Linked DNA regions of Drosophila melanogaster. The protein of the gene in region 3 interacts with the protein of the main gene of each other region in a biochemical or structural test. Each region holds a gene or a part of one and is shown on either strand. Other genes may lie near its edges. The genes, in order: htl, btl and RasGAP1.

What was found.
Region 1: the proteins of RasGAP1 (region 3) and htl form a complex in vitro, tested with the Drosophila melanogaster proteins (one study listed by BioGRID).
Region 2: the proteins of RasGAP1 (region 3) and btl form a complex in vitro, tested with the Drosophila melanogaster proteins (one study listed by BioGRID).

The regions. Positions count from the first base shown.
Region 1 is NT_033777.3:18,049,903-18,054,933, reverse strand, and holds the start of htl (heartless), read left to right. Parts: upstream 1-1,949; 5' UTR 1,950-2,432; intron 2,433-5,031. UniProt on the Drosophila melanogaster protein: May be required for patterning of muscle precursor cells. May be essential for generation of mesodermal and endodermal layers, invaginations of various types of cells and CNS formation.
Region 2 is NT_037436.4:14,074,126-14,081,900, forward strand, and holds the start of btl (breathless), read left to right. Parts: upstream 1-1,688; intron 1,689-1,750; coding exon of another isoform or gene 1,751-1,820; 5' UTR 1,821-1,923; exon of another isoform or gene 1,924-1,998; intron 1,999-2,939; exon of another isoform or gene 2,940-3,002; intron 3,003-5,329; 5' UTR 5,330-5,486; coding exon 5,487-7,775. Other genes in the region: Pex1 (peroxin 1), read left to right, coding at 1-393, 452-648, 711-1,334, 1,585-1,688, 1,751-1,820. UniProt on the Drosophila melanogaster protein: May be required for patterning of muscle precursor cells: generation of mesodermal and endodermal layers, invaginations of various types of cells, and CNS formation.
Region 3 is NT_037436.4:9,852,258-9,857,156, forward strand, and holds the start of RasGAP1 (Ras GTPase activating protein 1), read right to left. Parts: upstream 3,029-4,899; 5' UTR 2,556-3,028; coding exon 2,408-2,555; intron 1-2,407. UniProt on the Drosophila melanogaster protein: Inhibitory regulator of the Ras-cyclic AMP pathway. May function as a negative regulator of Ras85D/Ras1 in the sev signaling pathway. Acts cell autonomously in cone cell precursors as a negative regulator of R7 photoreceptor cell determination.

The DNA.
Region 1 (5,031 bases), on a different chromosome or scaffold from region 3:
ACTCAATTTCTTAATCTTAATCTACTAATCCCAAAATTTAATTGATTTCCCAAGTCACCTAGCAAAAGTTAATATATTGCTCTTCCTTATTTTCATTGACAGCTTCAATAGCCCATCTGTTTATCTATTGCAACTGAATAAGTCTAGCAGTTAACTTATTTTTTGGTTGTTTAATCCGCTGGTCGAAAGCGTTTCTCATTGGCATATTTCGCATATAATTGGCTATAAAAATTCATGTTAATGTGCAATTAATCATATTAGCAATTAACTTTATGCTGTTTGGCTGCTCTGCACGAGATCTCGACGAGCTGCGATCTGCGAGATGGCTGCAGATCGTGTCGCCCAACTCGAAGATCGTGTCTCCAAAAGCCTGTTACCGTTCCCGATTTTTCATTTCCCATTCGCAGATTCCCAGAGCCAAATGGCCAAAGGCTCGACCAACCAGACTTTGAGCCAATTTCCCAATATTTATTTCTATGCTCGAAACGCTAACAACTTGCGTTTCGTTCTGGCCAAATTGAAAAGCCATACGGAAGCTGAAGCTGCGATCGGCAGCCTCGAGGAGAAGCACTTTTGGGTAGCCAAGAGGAGCCCGGTTTGGAGCCAGGTTGGAGCCAGGAGGCTTGCCCAGGAGTGCATAAAATTTAAGTATTATGACCATACACACTGATCGGTGGCCGTCTTTAACCCGTGCTTTCCCCGGTCTCTCTGCGGCTTTACGAGGTTGTTAACTGTTGAAACTATGCTAACCACTCATGGGGATCCTCCCTCCCAATTCCGCCGTGGAGCATCAATTAATCAGTCAGGCGTAACGCCATTTGGCACTGAACGGGTCCCGTCGGCCACAATTGATGGTCAATAATCGTTAATTGTTTTCGATTTTCGGCCAAAATCCCCCCTGCGTCATTGTCCATTGTTTGGCTAACCCTTTTCGTTATTTTTGGTGTCTCCATAGAGACAAACGCTAAACGATGCCATTGTCTTTGGCGCACAGCGTGTGTGCTTTGATGGCCTTTTCACCACGAGTGTCATTCATTAGAGGGGCTTTCTTCCATCGCCACTTGGCTACTGGTTCTTATGTGTCTGTTGGCCATTTGACATTGGCTATAAGTAGCTCATAATTAATAACTGCTAACTTACTTAGCGAGCTATTGTGTTGGCTAATGAATCTCATTCCGCATTTTCCGCCTCAAACGAAGCGCAAAGAAATGCGCAAAGAATTTGTCAGTAGAATCTTAGGCCCTCATAGGCCATAAATCTTTTTAAAAAATAATAATAATTAAATTCAAGTGACTGATCTATTCTGACTAAGATAAGTTAGCTATTCTTTTTAATAAAGCATGATCCATCAAACCAATTATAACTACATAAATAATTGATCTGAATATAAGGAATCTTTTTGACAACTACCCATCTTCTTTGCACCCTCATAATGAAATTCATGAATTTCCTCGCTGCGCTCGAAACTATGCAACATATTGTGCGTTAGAATATCTTTGAGATATTCCATTCGACTCAATTGAACGAATTTTAGAACGAGTGCGGTCTGTGCACTCAATTACATTTCACTTTCCAAGGGAAGGCCGCCACTCAGCTACACACTTGTGTGTGTGTGTGTGTGGGTCCCCCATATATAGGGTATAGGGGCCCCTATACCATATAGTACCATACATACATATACCGCATACCCAACCCCTCGCTTTTTCGACCCTTCCTCTCTTTGGCTGCGGATTATACAATGTGTGGCTGGCGTTCCGTTCAATTTTGTGTGTTTTCTGTATTTGTTTACGCGCCTGCCGCAAAAATACATTGCAGAGATGTGTTCTCCAGCATGTTGAAGTTGATGGGGGAAATGTGAATTCGTTTCATTTGTTCCCTCATTTAATTGAAGAGATTTATTTCGCAGAGCTGGCTCGGTTCTGTTCGGTTCGCTTGCTTTTTTTTGACTCAGTTGCGATCGGACTGCGTGCCGTTACAGTAGGCGAAATCGGAGGAAAATCGTTGGAAAATCGGTTGGAAAATCGTTGGAAAATCGGTGAAAAATCGTCGAAAATTAGAGCGAACGATCGATCGATTGAACGCGTAATAACGCCATATAATATAATTATACTAATAATTATTAGTAATGCCTCTTGGTGAAAACGCACACATTTTGTGGATGGAAAGAAACAAAACAGAGTCAAGTGTGCAACGGTTTCTGGTTCTGTTTAAGTGCCTAAGTGCCATATAAATGCGTACTAAAACATTTCTGGAATTTTAAGTGGAAACATTCTCGAATTCTGTGAACTTTCCCAATTGTGTTTTTAGTGAAAGACTTACAATTTAGACGAAGGCAAGGAGAAATTCCAACGCAGAGACACTTTGGTGGATATTTGGCAAGAAGCTTTTTGGCATTTTTTTTTTTTTGTTCGTGGAGCAACGCACTTTGTGAGGTAAGTCTTTAAAAATACACACCGTGCATCGTTTAATTTAGTTTATTTTGTTTTTGGTTTTTTTTGCGTAGTTGCGCAAATCATTTGTTTGATCCACTTTTTGATTGACCGCGCACAGCAATTTGACTTTTTAACCCAAAGGCCAAAAAGTGTAAAATGTGCAGTGGTTCGGTTCCAAAGCAATTTGTGTCGTTTATCCCGCTGTGTGTGTGTGTAGTCAATCGTTCAATTATCTATTCTCTGGCTACCCCATAATAATACAGTGAATATGGACAGTTGTGGGCTCCCCATAGTATCTGTTTTTTTTATTTTTTATTTATTCCATTCGGTTCTGCTATGGTACATGCTCAAATTGAAAGCACTTTTCCACAGGGTTCCCATTCTAATTTATATTTATTTATTTGCTTTTACAAGCCAACCGATGCCCCAGAGCTCGGGAAAATATTTCAAACTCATAATTCTGTTATATTCCAACGCTCCCTTAGAATGGGATTTTGTTTATTAACCAACAGCATATAGCATATATCGTATCATCTAGAGTCTAGATTCTAGAATGTAGACGGTATAGGAACATGCAATATTTTCTAGCCGCGTAAACAAACATTTCAACTTGTCTGCTCTTTGTCCGACTTGCTCTATATCTGAGTGAGTATATAGCTAAAGATATAGCTATCTGTGTGTATATATATGTATATATATATATTTATCGGGTATCTGTTTTGTCGGTCGGTTAGCTTTACGATGCCATCTTCTAGGTGATTCGGCTTCTGTTTTGTTGCCTTTGGCAATCACTCAATTTGCTGGCCGACAACCGAAGACGCTTCTTACTTTTCGCCTCCCTTCTCTGCAATTTATTTATGAATGATAATTAAGGTTAGGTTTGTTTAGCTAATTGTGCGGCCAGTTCCCGGTATTGTTCCCATATCATCTCAGGTGGGATCCACGCAGACTTTCGGTATGATCCTTTGATCTTTATGATGTTAAAGTACAAATGTCACGAGAATATATGCTTGCTATATAATATTAAATGTTTTCATGAGAGTTTATCATAAAATCAGTGTTTACCAAATAAAGATTTCGATTTAGAAATAGATTTATGTCAACAATAAAGTAATAATGTTATTTTTTGGTATTATAATATATTATAGCTTAAGCTTATCAATGCTACAGCACTTTTATAATGGATTTTGTTGTCTAAATGTTTGTGAGTACTAATAAAATTTTAAAGCTCTAAATGGCAAATTTACAAATATATAAGTAAAGCTTGCAACAATTTAAGAATAGCACATATTTATTTCAACTAAATCTGTTGAACGTTCTTTATATAAATCGCTGCGTGCTTTATATTTCTGAAATGTAAATCGAATCAATAGTTCACTACTCATATACTTTGTGATAATTTAACGTAGCTTCGCGTTTTTGATAAAGTCGACTTGCCACAATCGACCTTTCGCTCCATCTGCTTCTTTTCGTTTACCCCATGGGATGCAACCTTCTCGCCGTCACGTACTGAATGGTATATACTAGATGAACGGGTGGGGATGGATGGATGGATGGATGGCTGGATGGGATTGGCATTGGGTGGCTGATGGCTGGTGGAACCTGCCGACGAACCGTGCGAAATAACAGACTCGTGCCGGTCTCGACTTGGTATCGGATACACTGAGCGGCAGCGGGGCAACCGCCAAGTGCGTCAATTGCGGGTCAACCCGTGCGATTGAAATGGATGCGCCAAGTGACCGGCGATTTCAATTCGATGGGAAATGTACATATACCGTGCAATGTTTGTATACTTTGCAAATACTTTCCGGAACGTGTTTGTTTATAAATCGGGCGATTTTGGACGGCACAGGAAATACATACATATACTAAAATTGCGCGCTCATTATCGATGGAGGTGAAGGTCGGAGGGTGGAGATAGAATACCAAACATATATACAATTTTTGGCAGTTTCCGATTTGGCGGATGCCTTCCTGGAAGTCAACATTTCGGATAACCCCATCATTTAGACGCTGGAGTCGCTACTTCCCCTCGAGAATCGACGACAATGTCTGTGCAACACATGTGGCACGATCTTAGGTAGACATACGTATATGTACATTCGTGTATGTTCGATGCTGATGATGTGCCCACATGTTGCAGTCAACAATAGAGCAACAAATGCAAGCCGAAACAATATTTGCCCTTGTCTCTGCTCTGACTCTGACTGTGGGCGTGGCGACGGGGGCGGGAGAACAGAGACAACTGAACACAGTAGTCTTCTCCGCCGGCCGTTATTTTTGTTGCTTTTAATTTCTTTAATTTTTTTTTGTCCGCCAGATGTGGGCTGAATGTTGAATGCGGACTGGAAAGATCAGACCCAGAACGCGGAGAGAAACTGTGTCTGTTTTAATTAAAGATGAGAGTAATACCCAGTGCAAACTGAGAGATACCGCCGATACTGAGATACAAAGCCAGACGGGGCTGGCATGTGTGGAAAATTAAGGCTGCCGTTGAAAGCGAAAAGATGCGGGACGCTAAAGGCAACGACCATCCAAACAGAACAGAACCGCAATGTGAATGAAAAAGCGAGCTTGTCAATTTATTGACTATAGCATA
Region 2 (7,775 bases), 4.2 Mb from region 3:
TTGTGCTAGAAAACTTGGATGTACTGGCCCACGCTGCTGGAGAGCAGTCCAGTCAGGATGGAGAGTACTACAATCGCATGGCGGATACTGTGTATCAGTTGATTGTTCAGTATACCACCAACAACGCTATTGCAGTAATCGCCACCGTCAACGAGTTGCAGACCCTCAATAAGCGATTGAGCTCACCAAGGGGAAGACATGTCTTCCAGACTGTTGCTCGTCTGCCCAATTTGGAACGAGCAGATCGAGAGATAATTCTTCGAGAGCTGTGCAGCCATATCAATGTGGCCAAGGACCTGGATCTTGTTAAGTTCTCCAACCTCACGGAGGGCTACCGGAAATGTGATCTTGTTCAGTTCGTGGAGCGTGCAATATTTTATGCTTATCGCATAAGTGAGTAGTTTGTAGTGTTAGTAAGCAACTTTATCATGTTAAATTCCCTTTTTTCCAGGCAAGACCCAGCCTCTTCTGACCAATGATCAGCTTATTGAGTCCCTGGAGCACACAAACTCGTACTGCCTGCAGGGCATTCAGAGCAATCAAAGAACTGGCAATGATGCCGATGCCAATGAAATGCGCGTCGAGGAGTTGCCTGGCCTGGAGTCAGTTGTGGGAGTTCTGGAGGAGGTCCTTATGTGGCCATCAAGGGTGAGTTTTAAACGAAATATATGTTTTTTTCTAAAATTTAATAAATCATTAATTTCTTACAGTATCCAACCATTTTTAACGCCTCTCCACTGCGCAACCAGGCCGGAGTACTTCTATATGGGCCACCAGGAACAGGTAAAACCTATCTGGTCTCTCAGTTGGCCACATCGTGGAACCTGCGCATCATTTCCGTCAAGGGTCCTGAGTTGCTCGCCAAATATATTGGTCAAAGCGAGGAAAATGTTCGAAACCTGTTCAATCGAGCTCGCAGTGCCCGACCATGTGTGCTTTTCTTCGACGAGTTTGACAGCTTGGCGCCGAAACGTGGTCACGATTCCACGGGGGTCACCGATCGAGTGGTAAATCAGTTGCTCACAGAACTGGATGGCGTTGAAGGACTGCAGGGAGTTACCGTGATAGCAGCTACCTCCAGACCGGAACTGCTAGATCCCGCGCTTCTTCGATCCGGTCGCATTGATCGCTTGGTGGAGTGTCCTTTGCCGGATGCTCCGGCCAGAGTACGTATATTTGAAGCACTCAGTTCAACACTGAGCCTTGATGAGTGCGTGGACTTCGATTGGTTTGCGGGAAAAACTGCAAACTACACTGGCGCCGATATCCAGAGCATCCTGACCTCGGCGAACATGGCGGCGGTTAAGGAGGCGCTAGCTCAATTCGGACACGAGGTGAGCTGGGAATTATTTTCACCGGAAACAATCTGCTTTATGGGTCATGCAAGCTTTCAACCGTTTCTTTCATGTTTTATTGTTTCTCATCCTGATTTCAAATGTAACTTCTATGTAAAAACTCCTTTACGTGTTTGTCTTTTAAATCAAAAGTGAAATCTATGCTACTTCCTGCAACAATGATTAGTCACGTAGTTCTTAGTCTCTGGCCACAGTATAAAATACCATTTGTTTCTTATTGCTTTCCCAGAAACTGGCAAAGAAAATTTCCTTGAAGCAGAAGCACCTGATTGAGTCGTTCCAAACCACTCGTCCTTCGCTCAGCGCCTCCGATGTGGCCAAATATCACAGAACGTACGTAACAATGTCTTCTTTGTTCTTCTGTTCTTCTTACCTTTTTAATTATCTCTTGGTAGGTATGCTCGCTTTACCAACAAGGAGAAGACTTCTAGGGAGTTTGTAGCCAAGCGTGCGACCTTGGCTTAAAGACAAAGACTTATAAGCTTAGCATTATTATTATTTTAAATTGTTTTTTGCATATTTGTACATCTGGAAAATGGAACATTTTGTTGGAAGACGCAAGTCTTAGGTAGTACATATTTCATAATTTTTCTTGTTGAAAAATAAAAACCAAATTTCTTTTATGATTACTTCGTATAAATCCATATACCACTCCGGAGTGTTAAATTGAAAGAATATTATATTTTAATTATAATGTACATACATGTATAAAAAAGAGAAAGAGATGTTCAAATTTAAGAACTAATATCTTTTCGCATTCTGACCTCGGTAAACATGAGTGCTGTTAAGGGGTGGCTCCTTAACAAATGAAGACATCAGGTGAGTTTGGTTATTAATTCACCGGAAATTGTGTTTAGCTATAACAAGTTTTTGATAGCTAGTTTGGATAGTATGTCCCTCCTTTTCGTATTTCCCAACTGTTTCGCATTTGTTCCCATAGCCCCTAACAAGTGCATCAAAAATGCATTTAACTATTTTTGGGTAGATTACGTGCCCGGCATCTGGATCTGGATTTTGGCCTATGCGGGAGCTAGCTGCTGCCATGCCACATGCAGCAACTGAGATTTTTGGATATCAGTCACGTAACGGATATTTCCTTATTGATATGCGATTACCGCGCATGCGCACGTACTGCACACCACTAAGACAATGGACACATTTTCTTTTGCATAAATTAAGCCGCCAAGCAAACAAACAGGGAGGGAACCCGAAGGCCAGATAATAAAGAATTTCAACGAGTCGAAGCCACCGCAAACATGCTTAGAATAAAACCAACAAGAACCTAGCAGAAGCAGCAGCAGCAAACCAGCAATAAAAAGAAAGGAAACCGCTCAGGAAAACTACCAGCGAAAACAATTGCAACATGCGGGAGGGAGACCACCTCGATCAGGTAGCCGTCCGAACCCATACCATCCCATCCGAAGACCCTGTGCCCAGGATCCTAGCAAACATTATCGCAGGGAACCACAGATATCCACTCGTTTCGTATCGTATTGGATCGTATTGGATCGGTTCGGTTCGATCGGCACGTTCGGATCGTTCGTATCGTACCGCGTAAAAGTTTCTTCCGTTTCGATCGTTACTTTCAGTTGTTTGCGCACATTCAAGCCAATCGGTTGGCTCCTTCCACAAACTTTACGGATTACGGTTAGTGCAACGGAAGTGAACCCCCCCCCCCCCCCCCCGCCCAACACCAGCTACCCATCACATATTTCTTTTCATTTATGCCTGGTAAAGGGAAATAAAAGTTGGCAACGAAGCGGAAATGCAAGGCGCCTTCCGCTGCCCTCTTGCCGAGTCTTAAGATTTTTATACAAGCCCCAACCGCGATTGACAGCCGAATAAACATAGTGACAATGTTTTTTGCAATCTTATTTGCCTTCTCCGGCTCCTCGAAAATAAAAGACAAAGAACGTGATTTTTTTGGTCAAAGATTTGGGGTTGTGGCATGGCAGAAAAGAATTGTGTTCCCACTGCGAACTGACAAGCAGCAGTGAAACCAAAATAAAGCAAAAAATAATTTAAGAGTGAATTGTTCCAGCAGTAAAATAAATACAAATCTTTCCAAGTGCAGCCAAAAGATCATAAACCACAGATAAATAAAAACAAAAAGTCTGCAAAGTAACCAAATGTTAAAAATAAAATTTTAATTGAGACAAAGAAACGTGATAAAACTGATTCATACATAATTAAATAAACACCAATGAAATAAATAAGAAAATAAAATTAAAGTGATGTCAATTGTATGAATGAATAATTTATGTCTTGATCCAAACATTCCTTTTACATTAAGTCAATGTTTGCAGAAAGAAAACTGAATGGGGAGTTAATACCCAGGGTTCCAAATAAAGAACTTATTCTATTCTCGATATAGCTGATTGACCAAGTTGAAATATCAAATCGTTCATGCATTAGATTTATACGCTCGATAATAATTCACAAGATAAAAAGGTGTGAGCTAAACGGTTTTGGCCATGTGCGCTTGTGGCTTAAAATCGAATCGAATAATATTGAATGAATGACAAACTGAGAAAAAAATTAAATAAAAATAGCAATAATACATACTTCAAATACAGCGATCGACTCGTATTTGGCAACAAATGAGAAAAAAAGGAATTGAATAAATTAAAACCTGCGACGCGTGTGCATACATACATAAATCGGGCCTGAAGTCAAACGGCTAGCGGCTAGCGGCAATATCGGCTAAAACAACAACAACAATTACTGGCAGCACTAGCACCATATTAACAACAACAATGACAATCGCAACGGTTGTCCCAAGCCTTACAAACAATAAAATACTTTTCATTAAACAGCACAGTGGTCAAAACGATTTTATAAAAGTTAAAAATATTTTAATTTTCTGATAGAAAAAATAGTCGAACTATGCTATGCCCCCATTATTATCAATATTTTCTAAACTTCGTTTAAAACTTTACATTTTGTACAAAGCTTACATTCGCAGACAACAAGTTTGGGAATTTACCCTATCATCATTAATCATTGAACTAAAAATTGTTTATTTTTATTTGGCAAACATTTGACGAACCCAAGTAGATGGAATACCCACTGTCCTATACCCTTTACGTGATTATACTAAAAATTAATTTTGAAATAATTATCTGCTATTAGGATTTTCGAGCAGTGTTATTCAGTGTTTAAAGCATAACTTTATTATAAATATACCTTTTAATTGATTAAAATGCTGAGCTCATATTGCACAGAGAATTTGAATGTTAATTAGTTGCTATTTCAGATTGTGGCAAATCATTTAGGTATTTCTCGATTTGTTGTTGCAATTCTCTAGCACCTTGTCTGTTTGTTTTGTAAGTGCAAGTATAGTACTTGGGGAATAACTGAAAAGTGTGACACCACTGTAACAACTGATTTCAACAAATAGCTAAGTGATTTTCTAACTGTTCGGCATTTAGTTGAATGGAAATCGAGGAGCGCAGGCCGCAGCAACAAAAGCATTTGGCGAACGTCGAATATAGACAAGTTATAATGGAGATCCCCTTCGGTAGTGGGTGGCGACGAGTGTGTCCGGCAATTCGGTGGCTTCGACCACGTCTTCCAGCTCATTACGAAGGCAGGGCACACAGTTTTCGTTTGTTTCAGTTGCTTCTCCTTTGGATTTTTGCATATCGGTGCGGACAGACTTGACTTGGCTGTGTGCCGTGTTGGCAATAAAATATTAAACAATAATAATAAATAAATAAAATGACACAGATCGGGAACTAAGGGAGGGGCAAAAAGTGAAGCGGAGATTTGGCAATATTTATTGATCCACTTATACAGCTGCGGTCAAAAGAATAGTGGCACAATAGTGGTATTCAAGTAACGAATAGCTAATAATATTTGCATTCATAACTTCTTAAATTTAGTTAAATTAAACAAAATTCCAAAGTGTTATTTTTAAAGTATAATATATCAATCAATGCCATGTAATTCATATATTTAATCCTTTCCTTTAGCTGGAGAACGCTCGATTTGAAATCGAGGAACTCGAATGAAGATACCCACAGGAAGTGATATTATTTCGACCGCAACTGTAACCCATATGTACACGATCGTGCCCATCCAGATACGAGATCTTGGTGGCTGTTGAACTCAAGAGAATCCACTTGAATCATGGCAAAAGTGCCGATCACGCTGGTGATGATCATTGCGATCGTCTCTGCCGCTGCGGACCTGGGATGCGATTATGGCCATCATCGTTGCTACATCGATGTGACTGTGGAAAACAGTCCCCGCCAGCGCCATCTGCTCTCCGACATGGACATCACGCTGCAGTGCGTCCGACCCATGGCCAAATGGTTCTATGAGGATAAGTTTCAACTGAGGGCTACCCTTTTGCGACTTGAACGAGCACAGTCCGGAAATTCTGGAAACTACGGCTGCCTGGATAGTCAGAACAGATGGTACAATATTTCCCTTGTTGTTGGCCATAAGGAACCAGTTGGCAATGATATCGCCAGCTTTGTCAAGTTGGAAGATGCACCGGCCCTCCCGGAGTCAGATCTCTTTTTTCAGCCCCTGAATGAGAGTCGATCCCTGAAGTTGCTGCAACCCCTACCCAAAACCGTACAACGGACCGCAGGTGGCCTTTTTCAGTTGAACTGCAGTCCCATGGATCCGGATGCAAAGGGTGTTAATATATCCTGGCTGCACAATGATACTCAAATCCTTGGTGGACGTGGACGCATTAAGCTTAAAAGGTGGTCATTAACAGTGGGGCAACTGCAGCCGGAGGATGCTGGAAGCTATCACTGTGAGCTGTGCGTGGAACAGGACTGCCAAAGGAGTAATCCGACCCAATTGGAGGTGATAAGCAGAAAGCACACGGTGCCCATGCTAAAGCCCGGATATCCCCGCAATACCAGCATTGCCCTCGGGGACAATGTGAGCATTGAATGCCTACTTGAGGACTCTGCCCTGGAGCCGAAGATCACGTGGCTACATAAGGGGAATGCGGACAACATCGATGACCTCTTGCAGCGTTTAAGAGAGCAGTCCCAGCTACCTGTGGATGTTACCCGATTGATTACCCGAATGGATGAACCGCAGGTACTTCGTCTTGGAAATGTCCTGATGGAGGATGGCGGATGGTACATATGCATAGCCGAGAACCAGGTTGGACGCACTGTGGCCGCCTCCTATGTGGATCTTTACAGTCCCTCAGATACTACCACAGTTCGCACGACCACTACTACCACCGTGGCCAGCCCAATACCCACTGCATCCACCGGAGAGGACAACGATGACGACGTGGAAAATCCAGCAGCGGAAGCATCAGGCGGCGTTGGTCCACCTGTGTTCAGAAAAGAGCTGAAACGATTACAGCACTCATTATCGGGAAATACTGTCAATCTAGCCTGTCCAGTGTACGGCAAAGCGAACATCACCTGGACGAAGGACAAGAAGCCGCTAAACCGTGAACTCGGCGTCTATGTGCAAAAGAACTGGACACTCCGCTTCGTGGAGGCCACCAGCGAGGATTCTGGACTATACAACTGTAAGGTGTGCAATGCGTGGGGCTGCATCCAGTTTGACTTCAGTGTCCAAATAAACGATCGCACGAGATCCGCACCAATAATCGTGGTGCCGCAAAATCAGACGGTGAAAGTCAATGGCAGCTTGGTGATGAAGTGCACCGTCTACTCTGATCTGCATCCAACAGTCAGCTGGAAAAGGGTTGTCCTCAAGAATGCCTCCTTGGACGGCCTTAAGTCTGTGGAAATCCAGAATCTCAACTTCACCGTGACGAATGACTCCGTAGTTTTAACGCTTCGTAATGTGACCTTTGACCAGGAGGGCTGGTACACCTGTTTGGCCTCAAGTGGTCTGGGAAGGAGTAACTCCAGTGTGTACCTTAGGGTAGTGAGTCCTCTGCCACCTTTGGAGATCTACGCCCTGCTGCACGCCCATCCTCTCGGATTCACCTTGGCCGCTATTACGATAGTGGCTTTGTTCCTTTTGGGCAGTGCTTTCATAACGTTCATGCTGCGTCGGCTGAGGAGGGAGAAGCTCCTGAAGCTCCGCATCGAAACGGTTCATCAGTGGACTAAAAAGGTGATCATATACCGACCGGGTGGAGAAGAAGGAAGTGGCTGCAGCTCCGGCGATCTTCAGATGCCAGTGATAAGGATCGAGAAGCAGAGAACAACCGTTTCCACAACGGGAACTGGCGGTACTGATCCCGCCCAGGGCTTTAATGAGTATGAGTTCCCGCTGGACTCAAACTGGGAGATTCCCAGGCAGCAGCTTAGCTTGGGCTCCATTTTGGGTGAGGGCGCCTTTGGACGCGTAGTGATGGCGGAGGCGGAGGGGCTTCCCAGGAGTCCACAACTGGCCGAAACCATCGTGGCCGTCAAGATGGTCAAGGAGGAGCACACGGATACGGACATGGCCAGTTTGGTG
Region 3 (4,899 bases):
CTCGTTATCATTCTAAATGAAATTTAGGTTATGCGCTAAACATTTTAATTAAGTGGAAAAGTATTACGCCAATTTTGGACGGACGTTTCGTGTAGAAATCGCAACGAGCAACAAAATGGAAATGGAAAGCCCCCACAACAATAGCAACAAAAGCGAAACTCCGTGTGTAATTGAAACTGAGCACGATGTGGAAGTATTATTATTAAGCATGCAAAGCATAATGAAGTGGAAATATGATACTTGGGAGAAGAATGCAGGGTGTACATACATATACATACATAGATATGTATAGCGCTTATAACGATATATAAATACGTACATATATCACGTTATAAAGCGGATGGGAAAGAAGCTGACTGTTGATGGGCAATAGAGGTGACACAGCAGCTAATGTGCTATAATGATGCGATAATCAATGATGATTATGGGAAATGAATAACTTTCATTCTTCAATCATTAGAAAACGTGATCGTGAGCCGTTTGAAATCGCATTTCTATATCTTTAGTAGAGTTTTTAAGAGGGAAAACTATAAATAAATAATAGTGAGTTCCCAATAATACTTCTATAAAACTAGAGAATATGGTTAAATTTCCTGCTCGATAGGTATTCCCGATCCATAACACAGCATTTTTTAACATTTTAGAGGCATTTTTGAATGGCAATTCCTTTAGATATGGTGTTGTGTAATAACTACTCAGGATTTTTAATGAGATCAGATATGTATCTTGGGAAGCTGTGGTCGATCCTTAACGGAATTTTTGCAGGTAAAGAGGGTAAACATGAACCACAAAGGCGAACGAATGAAATGGAGGTAAAAAGGTGACAGCTAATTTGCCATAACAACCCGATAATCGAAGGAAGTGCATAACTTTCGTTCTTCAATCAGCGCAGAAACGTGTTTTAATTCATTTTTAACCAATATTGTGCCATCTTCTTCGCAGAACCCAAAAGGGTTAAAGCAGCTGGAGAAAGAAGGGAATGTGGCAAAAGGAAGTGTCGAGAGGAGAGGAGGGTGCGAAGAGAAGATCCCGACAAAGACAGAGGCGCATGCGAAAACAATTGAAGCGTGCAAAAAGCAGTTGAAGAGGGGAAGACACGGAAAAAAAGAAGAGCAACTGAAAAAAGCAAGAGTTTTATGGCCGGAGAAAAAGAACACAAAACCGCAACACACGAAGGGAAACTCTGGGCGCTGGGAAACGGAAATCAAAAGCGGCAAGGCAACAATGTTGTTGCAGCTTTGCATATAATTTATGTTGAAAAAGCATAGCAAAAGCTGCTTATGAGTTGCGAGATTGAAAATGTGAGAAGCAGAAGAGGTAAAAATAAATGCGTGTGCAGGTGTGAAAATGAGATCACGGGAACTTTTGAACCCCCCCCCCCCCTCCCCGCACAGTACACACAGCCAGTGGTTATTCATAATTCTGTTTTACTTTTTATGTTTCAACAGGAAATGTAAAACCACCAAAAAACAACCGCAAGTTTATTTTTCGTCTATCTCTTGCAGTCTGCTTCGCTCTCGCTTCAGAATGAAGTGGATGGCAGAATGGAGAGGAAAAGTGAGAGAGCGTCATTCATTCATTTGACCTCTTGCCAATATATAGTAGGCCATTAATCGATGCTCTTTTCGCTTGTTGCTTTTGATAATCATTCATAAAACAGACACCTTCGTATTGAGAAAAGTACACCGAATTCGAAAATTCCATTCATAAAAAAACCCACACATTGTTGCTGGGATCTCTCTGCCGCTTGTGTGTGTGCGTTTGTCGCGTGTGTGTGAGCATGCGCTGGAGCGTCTCACAGACACATGCTTGATTTCCGATTCATTCACAAAAAGGGGCGCATTCAAAACTGCGGGGGGTGTGCTGGGCGATGAAGGAGGAAGAGCGGTTCTGGGGGTGGGTCAAGAAGCGAATGCCGTAACATTCAGCCTGGTCATCCATTACTTCTCAAACGGCAGCAACAACAAATGTATTGCACTGCTGCTGCACGAAAAAAAAACACACACACACAGGGAAAAAGGCAACAGAAACACACACGCACAGAGCAACACGCGAGTCAGAGCGGGACAGCATGCTTATACACTTGAACGCAATATGCATTTCTAGAACAAAAACACATTTGTTTTCTCAATTAATCGACTTTCTTTGCCTCAACTCGCACAAATTTCGGTTTGCCATTAGATTACACAACATTTTGGAAAACTTTTAGACATATTCTCCCGATTCTATGTTGTTTTCTGCTTGGAAGAGGCTCCGCGGGGCAAACGGCGACGCTGTCAAAATTCCAGCACACTTTGGAACATAAAAAACGCACGTTGCTGCGCGTATTTCACTCAACGTTCATGCCACGCATGTTCTTCGACATATTTTTGATGTTTTTGAACGATTTCGCACTCGATTTACATACCAATTTTCACTTTTAATTGCTCTTCAATGCGCACTTCGCGTGTATCGGCCATTTTGTTGTTGTTGCTGCTTGGCTCGACGGCGACGGGCGAGTTAATATTATTGTCGTCTCGCTCGTCGAACATATAGCGCTTCTTCTTCAGCAGCATTGTGCGCTTAAAGCAGCCAGCTTTTTGTCAGCTACCCACTGGGGAACTTGCAACACGCGATTGGAAATTTATCTAACTCCTTCACTCGATCTTCACGAAACTTTAATAACTCGAAATTATTTGTTTTTCTTTAACAGGTTTATTAGCCGGCTATTTGCATTTGAATTTCATCACTCGCTGCAGCGTTGCATTGTGCATTGAGCTGGTGTGACGGGAATATGAGTCGATTTGCCGCTCACGAAATGCACTTTCCCTGTTGCTTCAGGGCTCGACTGATTTTAGTATTTCGTTTTAACTACAAACTGTTTTTTGCACGCACTAGCAGACGTGGGATTATATTATCGAAGTATGGAAAGTAATTCGGTTGCTTGAATCAGAATCGCAAAAACTTGGTTCTCCGAGTTTATTTGCTTTGCGGGTTTACACGCATCCGCGAACAACCTTTCGAAGCGGAATCAGAACTAGAGTGACCGTAGCGAGACGGTTGTATGACTCCAACGAATTAGTGTGACCTTAGCACGGTGCCCCGAAAATACCACGGGAAACGCAAATGATTAATGTTTGCTTAATAATTTGTTTGAAGCAGATATGTTTTAAAATAATTTTTTTATTTTATTCAACAACGGCTTATGCTTATTAAGTTAAGCACAACAGTAAGGTTTTCATTAAAAATGTTTAAGTTTAATTTCGATATTTCACCAGTTCTGGCTATCGAATATATATCGTTAGCTCCAACAAACAGTTATATATTTTGTAATTTATTTAAAATTGATTATTATTAAACACTGAATTTTTGGTTTTTTTTATTTTAACTTGAGGTTTAATTGATGTTTTTATTAATTCCGATTGGTTTTTAGTTGCTTAACTTTGAAACACACTCCGAATTACGAACGTGTTGCAGGTCGGCCGAAATGGAACTGAATTAAAATTTCCAAGCGGCAAGTGTACACATGCACCTCCCAAAAATTTTGTGAATGAAAACGCACACACGCAGCAGCGGTCACCTACACTTAAACACACACACATGTTGCACCGGCGCCACCAACAGCGGAAACAACCGAAGATCGCCGGCAGAGAAAGTCGAGGCATATGCGACTTAAGAAGGGCGGTACAAAGCAATAAAAAACCCTGTTTTGTTTATGATCGATCGTTAAGGAATTATATCAGAAAGCAATGTTTATTTTTAAATTCAACCAGTTTAAGATTCATATCTATTCCAATAACCATGTATCAATAGCTAGTTATGCTTAGCAAAGTAAGTAAAAATCAAATGCCCGGCTGTTTATACCGTAGCGCACATTACGTGGGCGTTCTGGATCGCAGACAGTCCACAGGAACCCGAGGAACTACATAGTACACACATATGTACATTAAAAGTACACAAATATTCAGAAACAAGGCAGTGAAATGTGAAATTCACACGGCATCCGGACAGCAACGCCGCTTATGTTTTTCTTTACGCATATGTTGCTTCTGCTCCTTGCCTTGGAAACCACATGCATCACAACAACAACAAGAACAACAACTGGCAGGGAGAGATCAACAAGTGAGGCGGTGCATCTTATCACAACTGCCGCCAATAAGTGGAAGTGGTCGGGTCAACATTTCGGATGGTTGCTCGGCTGGGTTTCATTGTTTTCGTATGCCCTGCATTTGATCTAGTCACTTCAACTGCACTGAGCAAAATAATTGTATATAAAATAAATTATAATTGTAAATACTATAACACAGTTATAGTTTATAGTAATTGTAATAATTTAAAGAGACTTATCGAAAATTAACATTTCCCTTTAGTATATGCTTTTAAAGTGTATCATAATATTTGTTAAGAACGTTCACAATGCTATTTTCTGTGTAGCGTGCGTAACGACCATTTGAATATGTTGATCATTTCGCTCAACGAAACGTAACCGACGTGGGAAGAAGAGGAGACAGGGCTTTTCTTCTTTTTTTCCGTTTCCAGCTGTCCACTCGATTCCTCCTCCTCCTCCATTTGCCCCGCCCACAAAATTCGAAGCTAGGCGCAGATGTTATAAATATAGTATTTTGTGGCATTTCCATTCGTATGAATGGGTCTACGAGTTTCGGTTTCAGGTTTTTGGGCCTGTTTATAAACCCACTCCTCCCATATTTTCTCATATTTATGTCCGGAAAAGTGTTTTGGTCATTTGTCTAGCTTCCGTTATTATTTCGTTATGAATGAAAAACCCATTTGGACCGGGTTTTTTGATCTCCCTAATTTACAACATTTATTTAGTATTAACTCGATCTTGACGTCAATATGGGTTCGTAAACTTCGTTTACTATTTGCGTCGTGAACAAGTTTCTTAAAACGTTTAGTTTT